Kluyveromyces lactis: one gene and its partners. The protein of the gene in region 1 purifies or fractionates together with the protein of each later gene. This does not show direct contact. Links are inferred from orthologs where the notes say so. Each region holds a gene or a part of one and is shown on either strand. Other genes may lie near its edges. The genes, in order: TAF2, TAF8 and TAF12.

Region 1 (3,765 bases):
TCCAAATCACTGGATAATCTATTTCTGTTGTGATAGATGAACTTCTTGAAACCAAATGGCTTCAACCTCTCAATAATGGCACGGCCAATACCTCCTAGACCCAAGACACCAACAACTTTACCCTCGGGGTCGTGACCAACTGGTGCACCAGCGGCAGCGCCACCGGATGGCCATTTACCTTCTTCCATCAAACGATGACCGTACTCGAAGTTTCTTAATGCGCCTAGCAATAGGAAAACGTGAGTATCGGCAGTAGAATTGTTGACCAACTCTGGAACGTTGGAAATTTGGATGTGACGTTGACCAAATGGCGTAGGGTCAATTTGATCGTAACCGGCACCATTGTGACAAATAGCAACAACGGATTCCGGCAATGCCTTAGCCAATTCAGCATCAAATCTTCCAGTGTTCTTAACACTTGGGAACGTTCTGGTTAAGATTTGAGCCTTAGAAATTGGTGATTCCGGATCCTGACATTGATCTAAGAATTGAGCTCTTGTGAGGGATGGGTCAATTGGAATAACTTGTGCAATCTTTGAAAGCTCTTCCCATGCCTTTTGAGCGTACTTAACCTGACCTAATCTTAAAACAACTGGCTTTGACATCTTCACTTGATGCTGTCTTATCAACCTATCCGATCTCTTCAGTGACCTTCAGAAAGAAATTGGTATAGACTTTACGAATAGCGAAGATATAATTTAATGGTAATACCTCCCCTACTATATACTATAAAGGTGCAATTGAAGTGTCAAGTCGATACCGTCGCCTTTGCAATTGCTGTAACCTTATAAAGGTTTTGATGTTCGGTAGTGGTTTTTCCTGATTGCGTTGCAAAAACTCGTAAGAAGATACCCATGCAGCGTTTTTAATGATTACAAACAAGAAACAGATAGATAGATAGATAGAGAGATAGACAGAAGACATTCAAAAAATTCCGGTTAATACATCCTTTCATCTTGTGACCACCCGGAGCTTCCATCATCTGATAAACTAAGCATGCTATACTGCAACCCATAACACTTCACTTATGGATCATGTAATGCGAAGAGAAATGGATTGCTGTGTCAATCGCCCCTAACACGGTACCGTGGTTTCGAGATACGGGCAAAATTCCCGTTTTTCCTATTCCAACCACATGCCATTTTTACCTGAAGAGTGGGTAGAGAGAGTGTCGCCAGGTATTAACAGCTTTCCAAAGAGAAAGACAATCACGTGGTTCAAGGTGGAATGAATGAATGAATGTTCAACCGCCGCTGATGCCTTGTCATCCTAACCCGCATTACCCGGATAAATTTCTCGCATGGTCAATATTCAAACAAACAAAATCTTGAAATTTGAATAATATATATGCATCTGTATATGATATTATTATTATATACGTTGAATTGATATTGAAGGTATACTTAGAGATGCTTCGAAACGTGATATAGATAGAGGCACCAGACGGAATTGATCAGACGTTGAAACTTAAGCACTAAACTACGATTCTATTTGCGGTACTTCTGTACTTTGAATTTCAAACACAGAATATGGTACAAATGAAATCGACACCTAAGACACCAGGTTCGGCGTACCCAGTAGTGGAACAACAATTTGGACCACAATTCAAGGTTGCCCATCAGAGAGTACAGATAGATGTGGACCTTTCGAAGAACTGTATAGTGGGTACTACTGAGATGATTATTATGCCATTGACCCCTAATCTCGAATATATAGCTTTGGATTGTAAGAATATGAGAATAAAGGATATCATCTTTGAGAACAGACGGTTGGATAATTTTGTGCATGATGATCCTTACAAAAAACTGTCAGACTCTTACTTGAATAATTCTGAGGATGATATACTCTACAACTGTAACGGCATAGAACAGAGCCATCTATTAAGAAAGAAATTTTCAGAGTTTAACCATAATCCTGAAGGTTCATCCAAATCGCAGCTATTAGTTAAAGTGCCCTCCTCTGTGAAGATTCTGCCGCATGACGTAAACACCCTATCTGCGTACTTAGGAACCGCTGCTGGTACTTCCGGTATAACTCCCTCGTTAAGAAACACCCCGAGCACTTTCCCTAACGACACAATATATACCCCGTTGACTTTACGGGTAGACTACGAATTGGACCATCCACACACAGGTGTTTGCTTTGATACCATATCCCCTGAACCTCATCTTTGGAATGCTTATACAACAAACTCAGAACTAAATAGTTCTGTATCACATTGGTTACCATGCATAGACTCCTTGGATGAGAAATGCACATGGGATTTAGAAATATCAGTACCTAAGAGGGTGCGGGACATAGGAACCACTAAAGTTGTTGGTGCAAGAAACCTACGAAAGAGGACTGCAAGAGATAGGAGATCCAATTTGAATGCGAATGATGAACATATGAAGGAGGAAGACGATGATGAAGATGACGAAGATGAAGAGGAAGAGGATGATGAGGATGAGGATGGGACTATCCAAAACGAAGATCTGAATAGAGAAATCGTGGTCGTATGTTCTGAAATGGCAACGAGAAAGGTAACTGCCCATCCAATGGATATGGCAAAGAAGACAGTTTCCTTCCAGATATTCACTCCCGTGGCCCCACACCACATCGGTTGGGCTATCGGTGCCTTCCAGACTATAGAACTACCTTCAATCTTACAGGCCGATGAAGATGAAGAGATGGATGAATTTAAAATACCGCAACAGGAGCAAGTGTTAGCTGATGAGCCTCGTGATGAAATTCCTATATTTGTTTACACATTGCCAACTGTCGATTTGAACGAAAAAACTATCCTCAATTCTACTCTTGTTTGCCAGGAAATTATGGATTTCTATTCTAAAGAGTTTGGTTCATATCCTTTTACCTCGTACTCTTTGCTGTTTTTACCAACTTTAACGACTGACCTGATGGATTTCACAAGCGCCACCTTTTATAATTCCAGAATGCTATATCCTCCAGAAATTATAGACTTAATTTATCCTACAACCAACACACTTGCATGGGGTTTAGCAAACCAATGGTCTGGCGTTAACATCACTCCTCTAGAATTGAATGATTTATGGTGCGTTGTTGGCATGGCGGGATACATGGTATTACAATTAATACGAAAGCTCATGGGTGTCAATGAGTACAAATTCAGGATCAAAATGGCATCGGAAGCCATAGTTGAACAGGATTGGGAAAAACAGCCAATCGGAACTACTTTTGATTCTGCTTCTTTACCTATATCAACTCTATCAAAGGAAATTAATTTTATAAAATTAAAGGCTCCAATGGTGCTTTTTATTCTCGATAGAAGAATGACAAAAACAGAAAGGTCATTCGGTATGTCCCGAGTATTGCCCAAAATATACTTACAAGCTATGTCAGGGGAATTGACCAATAACTCATTGTCTAGTACCCATTTTCAGAGAGTGTGTGAACGTGTGAACAAAAATAGACTCGAAACTTTCTTCAAGCAATGGGTATACGGATCCGGTGTTCCAATATTCCGCATAACGCAAAGATTTAACAAAAAGAGAATGGCAGTTGAAATGGGCATCAGACAAGTTCAGATGCAGGAATTAGGATTAGGTAAAATCGTTGGAAAAGAAAATTTCAATTCTAGTGCTATGGAATATTTGCAAGATCAAGACAAATCTCCTACTCAGGTGTTCACCGGATCCATGACAATCAGAATCCATGAAGCTGACGGAACTCCGTATGAACATATTGTTGAACTAAAGGATGTATTTACAAAATTGGATGTTCAGTATAACACTAAATATAAAAGGT
Region 2 (3,057 bases), on another chromosome or scaffold:
CATCATTACAAGAATTACGAGTTAGGTTTTGGTGTCACCTCTTGGTTCTGGGATAAAGTGTTCGGTACTTATCTTGGTGAAAACGCTCCATTATCCAACATGAAGTATGATTGAATTAAATAATTCACTATACGTGCCCACACAACCCTTCTATCATTGTTATTCACACTATTATTATTTTTAAACTCATTTTAACGACGATAGGAACTCTTCCTCTCCCAGTCTACACATTTTTCAGCATTAACGCTCTTGTTTCTTTCTCTCTCCTTCCTTCTCTCTGTAACAAAACCCGAGAGAGTTTGATGGATACCACAAACGTCAGCGATATATGTCCACCTGAGGATATATTTCCACCAGATCTTCCATTTCAATTCCAAAACCAGTGATCCATCTCTTTTGATTGTCTTTGCCAAGAACAGGTTCTATTCTTATGATATCGTTATTAGTATTAATATCTTTTTTTATCTTCTGTTTTAACTCCATATACATCCAATACATAAATTGATACAACTGCTTCAGCACAACTATTTTAAACATGTTCGCCGGGTTGTTTTCGTCCACCTCGTGTAACTTTATCTACTCTTGATGTTATTAACATCAGTTCACGCAAATCACGTGAAAATAATAACGGTATTACCCGAACGTTATGCCATTCGAAAACTCTGAATGAATGAGTTGAAGCATTGAAGTTATTGCGAGAGACGTCTCCAAACGCTTAGCTCTTAAGGGTTAAAGCAATCAATCAGTTTCATCCTATGGGTATGAAACTGACCGAATAGTAAAGCACTCATACAATATTAAAGTACTAGTTGGCTCTTTGAGACTGAATATGACGACTTCTGAGGATAAAGATAAAAACGATGCCAAGATAGAGACTGACCAGAGACGTGTGCGACTAGATAAGTTACCTAATCTAAATGAGGTACCTCATGCCAATCCGATGGAACGCTTGTTTGCACAGGCCGTACTATTGCAATTGAAGACACTTAATAAGAATGTGGTTATATCTCAATTGGCGTTTGACGATCTTTGTTATGTTTCATTATTACAGTTAGATGATTTATTGCAAAGTCTGAAGAAGATAACTCAAGTACAGCGAAGGACAAAGATCTCCAAGCTTGATTTGAACCTCTACTTTAAAGGTATTGGTATGGATCTGAAAGATTTGAATGGGCAAGTGGAAATATCGAATTTTGTACATGGGAAATTCAAGGACGAGGCTAATGCCTTGAACGAAACTGTGCTAAAGGTTAAACAGCAGTTCATGAAAGAATTGGAAGAAAAAGAGCTTTTGAGTTCTAAACATTCAGAGTTCTTCGTGCAAGATGTTGATATATTAAATTTGTTACCTTCGAGCAACAAATCTAACAAATATGTGCCCAGTTGGTTGCCAGAACTACCGCCTGATCATACGTACAAATTTACCTCGTTGTACAAGAGACCCATTACAGATGAGAGGCTGATGAAGAAGAAGTTACTAGAAGAAGGAAGGCTTTCGGAAAAGGCATTGTTGAATATGCTTAGTCAAGTTGTCAATCAGGACCCACTGGTAGCGCTAAATAAAGATAGCGACCAGTCTGCCAACAATGCTGCCCTTTCTGAACATATTAAAGAAAGTCAGTTAGAAACCGATTTAATCTTTGACCCTCATAAAACCATACCTACAGATAAAGAATGGGGTACAACAACGGTCCTTCATGGCATCGAGTCATTCAATCTTTCGCCAGTGAAGAATTTCAATGTGTTAGAATACTGTAAGAAGAGAGATGCAATAGTAAAACGAAGGGCTGAAAGGGCAGAAAACCAAGTATCGAATAAGAGACGTAACCCATTCATACGAGGTGCCATGATCTGTTCACCCTACGGTCAAGGGAGTACCAAATCGAGGAAGTCAGTTGAAAATCAATTGAAAACAATGCTAAGGCGTAGTTACTTGGGGCTGATAGATTCCATACCGAGAGTCAAAGAAGTACGAGAAAGAGCGAGAAAAGAGGCAGAAGAAAGAGAGAGACTTTTACAAGAACAAAGGAGAATAGAAAAGGAGAAGAAAATGGCCGAACAAGAGATTCTTGATCTTAATAACCTACAAACTGATCCCCTATTGCATGGCTGGGACAAAGACAGCGAAGATGATGACGAAAACGACGACGAAAAATTTCTGACGCAGGGACCGCCAGAGGTACAAGCAATAACAGATACTAACATTTCAACTCTGGGGGAGTTGGCTTCTGAGCTGTTGCACGGACCAGATGAAGAAAAACCGATGGAAAGCACAGAGACTTTTGAAGATGTACTTCCGTCAATTACCCCCGCTAATTCGACTCCTTTACTTTCAGAAGTCGCATCGGGATCCGCATCAGGTCTGACGCCGAAAGATATATCGGAAGATGCACCAGAAGCAGGATCAGAAGAAGCTAAATCAGAATTAGCCCTTCATACATCACCGGGAGTTGCCACAGACGAGTTGCTAGAAAATCAATCACAAGATCACGATTCTAACGTGAATGATTTATTCTGATATATTTTGACTTTCATTATAAGTAGTCATATTAGCTAATGAATCAAAACTATGTACATCATAATTCGTATAGTCAGTAACGTTTGTATTCTCCTAATGCTAATCAATGTAACACCACTCATACACGCGATGCAAGAATACTTCATGCTGTGTATGTTCTGTTTACTTCTCTCTTCATATCTGTTTATCCATTATCGATCGAATTTGAATTTAAATAACAAACATTTCTGTTAAATAAAAGCCAACGTGAAGACATAACAATGAATTTCGGAGTTGCAAGAAAGGGAACGGGCTGTCAAGCGGGATTCCAAGCGCGGTAAGATGTCACTCGAAACTAATGTGAAGGTGACCAGTGACCTACCATATCCCATCACTGTTGCGCAGTTGTACGTAAAACCGGGTGATCACGTTGAAAAAGGCCAACGATTATTTGCTTACGAGTATTGGGATTTCCAGGACGTTCTGGTGAAGTATGAGGAGAAGACTAAGAAGCAGCGGGTGGATCGGGTGGCTACTTTTGACTCCCCTGTCTCTGGAAC
Region 3 (3,088 bases), on another chromosome or scaffold:
CACAGGATGCACGTACTCTGTTGCACAGGAATACCTTCGAAAGAATGGAGGGCGTGTCGAGTACGCTTTGAACGATTATTATGATAATGTGGATACCATTGGAGGTATGCGTCAATCTTACAATCCCAGTTTAGTGGCTATCTTTGAGAAGTACTCGAATGGCGTTTCGGCAACAGAATGGGACTCTTCTGGGCTAATACGGTTTATTGAAGACCTCGGTATATCGATAGAGGACCCAATCACGCTATGTCTTTCTCAAATGCTATGCATCGACGATTTAACAAAACCAGTATCTCGAGAACAATTCCTAAATGCCTGGTCAGATTTATGTTGCGACACTTTAAGAAAGATGAAAGCCTATTTACATACGCTAGAAGAGAGACTGGAGACGGACAAAGATTATTTCAAATCAATCTATTCCTACACTTTCCCATTGAATACAGACGAGGGATCTCGTCATTTACCTAAAGATGTCGCAATAGAATACTGGAATATTTTCTTTAAAGACAATAAATATGCGTTGAAAATCTCCAAGGAGAGACTTAATTCATGGCTTGAATTCATCAATTCTGACGACTCGGATCCAAGGAAACAGAACATCTCAAACGATATATGGTTGATGTTCTATAAGTTCATTGAACAATACCCCAATGACGAAAGTTTAAAACAAAACTATGATGAAATGGCTGCTTGGCCGCTACTTATAGACGAATATTACGAATTCTTGGAAGAAAATGACAAGCTGTGATGCAGCGCAAACACCTATATCGCTTATGAACATATTCATAGATACATATATTCATATATACGCATTGTGTATGTTGTCAGGGTAACACTTGTCTTCCTATTCCTTTCAGCATCAAAATTCAAAAATATTTCAAAGATCAACAAGTGAATAACAATCGAAAGTAGTTGCCGCGAGGTTAAAGCAAGGGCAAAACGGGGGCAAAGAAGGCCAGCACGAGGGTATTTCGACACTTAAAGTGGGCTTGCGGTGTGCATTTCGGATTACGAACCAAGATACGGACAATGTCAGGCCAAGCAGGTAATGTACAGCTGCAGAACCTCACGCCAGCTTCTATGCAGCAATTGGCGGATAGACTAAAATCGTTAGTTAACGAAGCTAAGCGAATTGGTGTAGATACCAAGGAAGGGAAAGAGCTATTGAGACAAGCGGCCCGTATTAAGGCTTTGTACGAGGCTTACAGTAAACAGAGGCAGCAGCAGGCCCAAGCGCAGGCTGGAGCACAGGGAGCTGTAAATAATAATGCCACGAATGTTAAATCCATGGATCAGCAGCAACAGCAGCAGCAACAGCAGCAGCAACAACAAGCTACCGCCAGTTCCAATAATGTGACGAATAACATAAAGGTCTTATTAACTCCTCAACAGCGTGAAGCTTACAATAGATTGGTTCAAAAGTATGAGGATGACGGTCAGAATATCAAGGGAGAATTCAACTTTTTGAAGAGAAATATTAGTGTTTTGGACCAAGAGATCAGGAATAGACGAGGTAACAGTCTATCGGTGCAGCAATTAGAGGTTAACAGGAATGAATTATTAATGAAAATCAGGGCATTGAGTGCCCAGTATTCGACATTACAACAGAAATATCAAGAGGACAGAAGAAAGTTTTACATTGAGTGTTCTCAAACTAATGCTGACTTAAGAAGATATCTACAAGCACAGCAACAAAAAGCTAATGCTGCTAAGTCACAGGGTACAGTAGCTGCAAATGCAGGTACACCGGGACCTCAGGCTGGTGTTTCTACTCCAGGAACCAACACCGGTACACCAATTCCAACAAGTTTGAATAAAGCTTCGAGTGGTAGTCCTCCAAATGCTATGGCGCAAAGACAAAATATACCAATTCAAAAGACCGCTGCAACTACTGCAACTGCAACAAACGCAAACCCGAGCTCAGCAGCTGCCGCACCAAATAACACAGCTTCTGACAAATCGTCCCCAATGCAGGTGACAACGGTGAATGCAGCTGCAAATCAAACAGCACAAAGCAATACAAGACCACCAATCTTCAAGCAACCAAACCCATCGATACCAATAAGTGAAAATGTCACCGCATCCCCAACAGTTTCAGTGTCATACAGAAGCAACAGACCTACGATAACAGGCGGTAGTGGTATGAACGCGCCAGCGCTAACTACACCTGTTATGACCAAACTACCGCCATATGAGGTCGATACTGAGCGTGTGATGTCTAAAAGAAAGCTCCGTGAACTCGTCAAAACGGTGGGTATAGACGAAGGTGATGGTGAAACCACCATTGATGGTGATGTGGAAGAGCTATTACTCGATCTAGCAGACGATTTCATTACTAATGTTACGAATTTCGCCTGTAAATTGGCAAAACATAGAAAATCCGATTCACTCGACGTAAGAGACATCCAAATGCATCTGGAACGTAATTGGAATATCAGAATCCCAGGGTTTGCCAACGATGAAATCCGTAGCACCAAGAAATGGAATCCAACCCCTTCGTACAATCAAATGGTAAATGCAATCAATAACAATAAAACTGCACGTACACATCCCGAAAAGAAGTGAAATGGATAAATTACCACTGTTTAAACAAGTTCATTCATTCAAACAGACTTAATTTGATGCATATATTATACATCATATATCATATATCTATTAATGTAACAATTCCTCAAAATATTGAAAATGGAGAAGTGGATGAGTACCTACAACAATGCATAATCAAGTCCAGGGAAACTGATTCTTAATACTCTTTGTCCTATTCTGCCTGTCTCATATATGTATAAACCACCCTTTTCTTTTTCATGGCTTCAAGTTGTATTTTTCAAAATTTTCCAAAACGTTAAAAACTATGGAAGGTCATCTCATCTCATCGCATAATGCTGTTCAAGAACAAGTATAACAAAACTTATATACTATAACCCTGTGTAAGATATCAGTTATTGCTACTATTATCCGCAGTGTGGAGTTTAAATTGATACACAATGGTTAAATCGTATCAACGTTTTGAACAAAGTGGTCTTTTTGGGTTAATTTCTACTTCAAATCAGTCGATCTATCTTCCAGCTACGAACTCAACGTCTGGCAA

What was found.
Region 2: the proteins of TAF2 (region 1) and TAF8 purify together in Saccharomyces cerevisiae (affinity purification with mass spectrometry; 8 studies listed by BioGRID, with this or other methods). This does not show direct contact. The link is inferred for Kluyveromyces lactis from reciprocal best matches to the Saccharomyces cerevisiae genes TAF2 and TAF8.
Region 3: the proteins of TAF2 (region 1) and TAF12 purify together in Saccharomyces cerevisiae (affinity purification with mass spectrometry; 4 studies listed by BioGRID). This does not show direct contact. The link is inferred for Kluyveromyces lactis from reciprocal best matches to the Saccharomyces cerevisiae genes TAF2 and TAF12.

What each region holds. Positions count from the first base shown.
Region 1 is NC_006039.1:177,015-180,779, forward strand, and holds the start of TAF2 (transcription initiation factor TFIID subunit TAF2), read left to right. Parts: upstream 1-1,529; coding exon 1,530-3,765. Other genes in the region: GOR1 (glyoxylate reductase), read right to left, coding at 1-605. UniProt on the Saccharomyces cerevisiae protein: Functions as a component of the DNA-binding general transcription factor complex TFIID. Binding of TFIID to a promoter (with or without TATA element) is the initial step in pre-initiation complex (PIC) formation.
Region 2 is NC_006040.1:143,401-146,457, reverse strand, and holds TAF8 (Taf8p), read left to right. Parts: upstream 1-829; coding exon 830-2,518; downstream 2,519-3,057. Other genes in the region: SCS7 (fatty acid alpha-hydroxylase), read left to right, coding at 1-114; FCP1 (protein serine/threonine phosphatase), read left to right, coding at 2,840-3,057. UniProt on the Saccharomyces cerevisiae protein: Functions as a component of the DNA-binding general transcription factor complex TFIID. Binding of TFIID to a promoter (with or without TATA element) is the initial step in pre-initiation complex (PIC) formation.
Region 3 is NC_006040.1:1,375,900-1,378,987, forward strand, and holds TAF12 (Taf12p), read left to right. Parts: upstream 1-1,029; coding exon 1,030-2,565; downstream 2,566-3,088. Other genes in the region: NEDD8 ligase DCN1, read left to right, coding at 1-748; snoRNA-binding rRNA-processing protein DIP2, read left to right, coding at 2,985-3,088. UniProt on the Saccharomyces cerevisiae protein: Functions as a component of both the DNA-binding general transcription initiation factor complex TFIID and the transcription coactivator SAGA complex.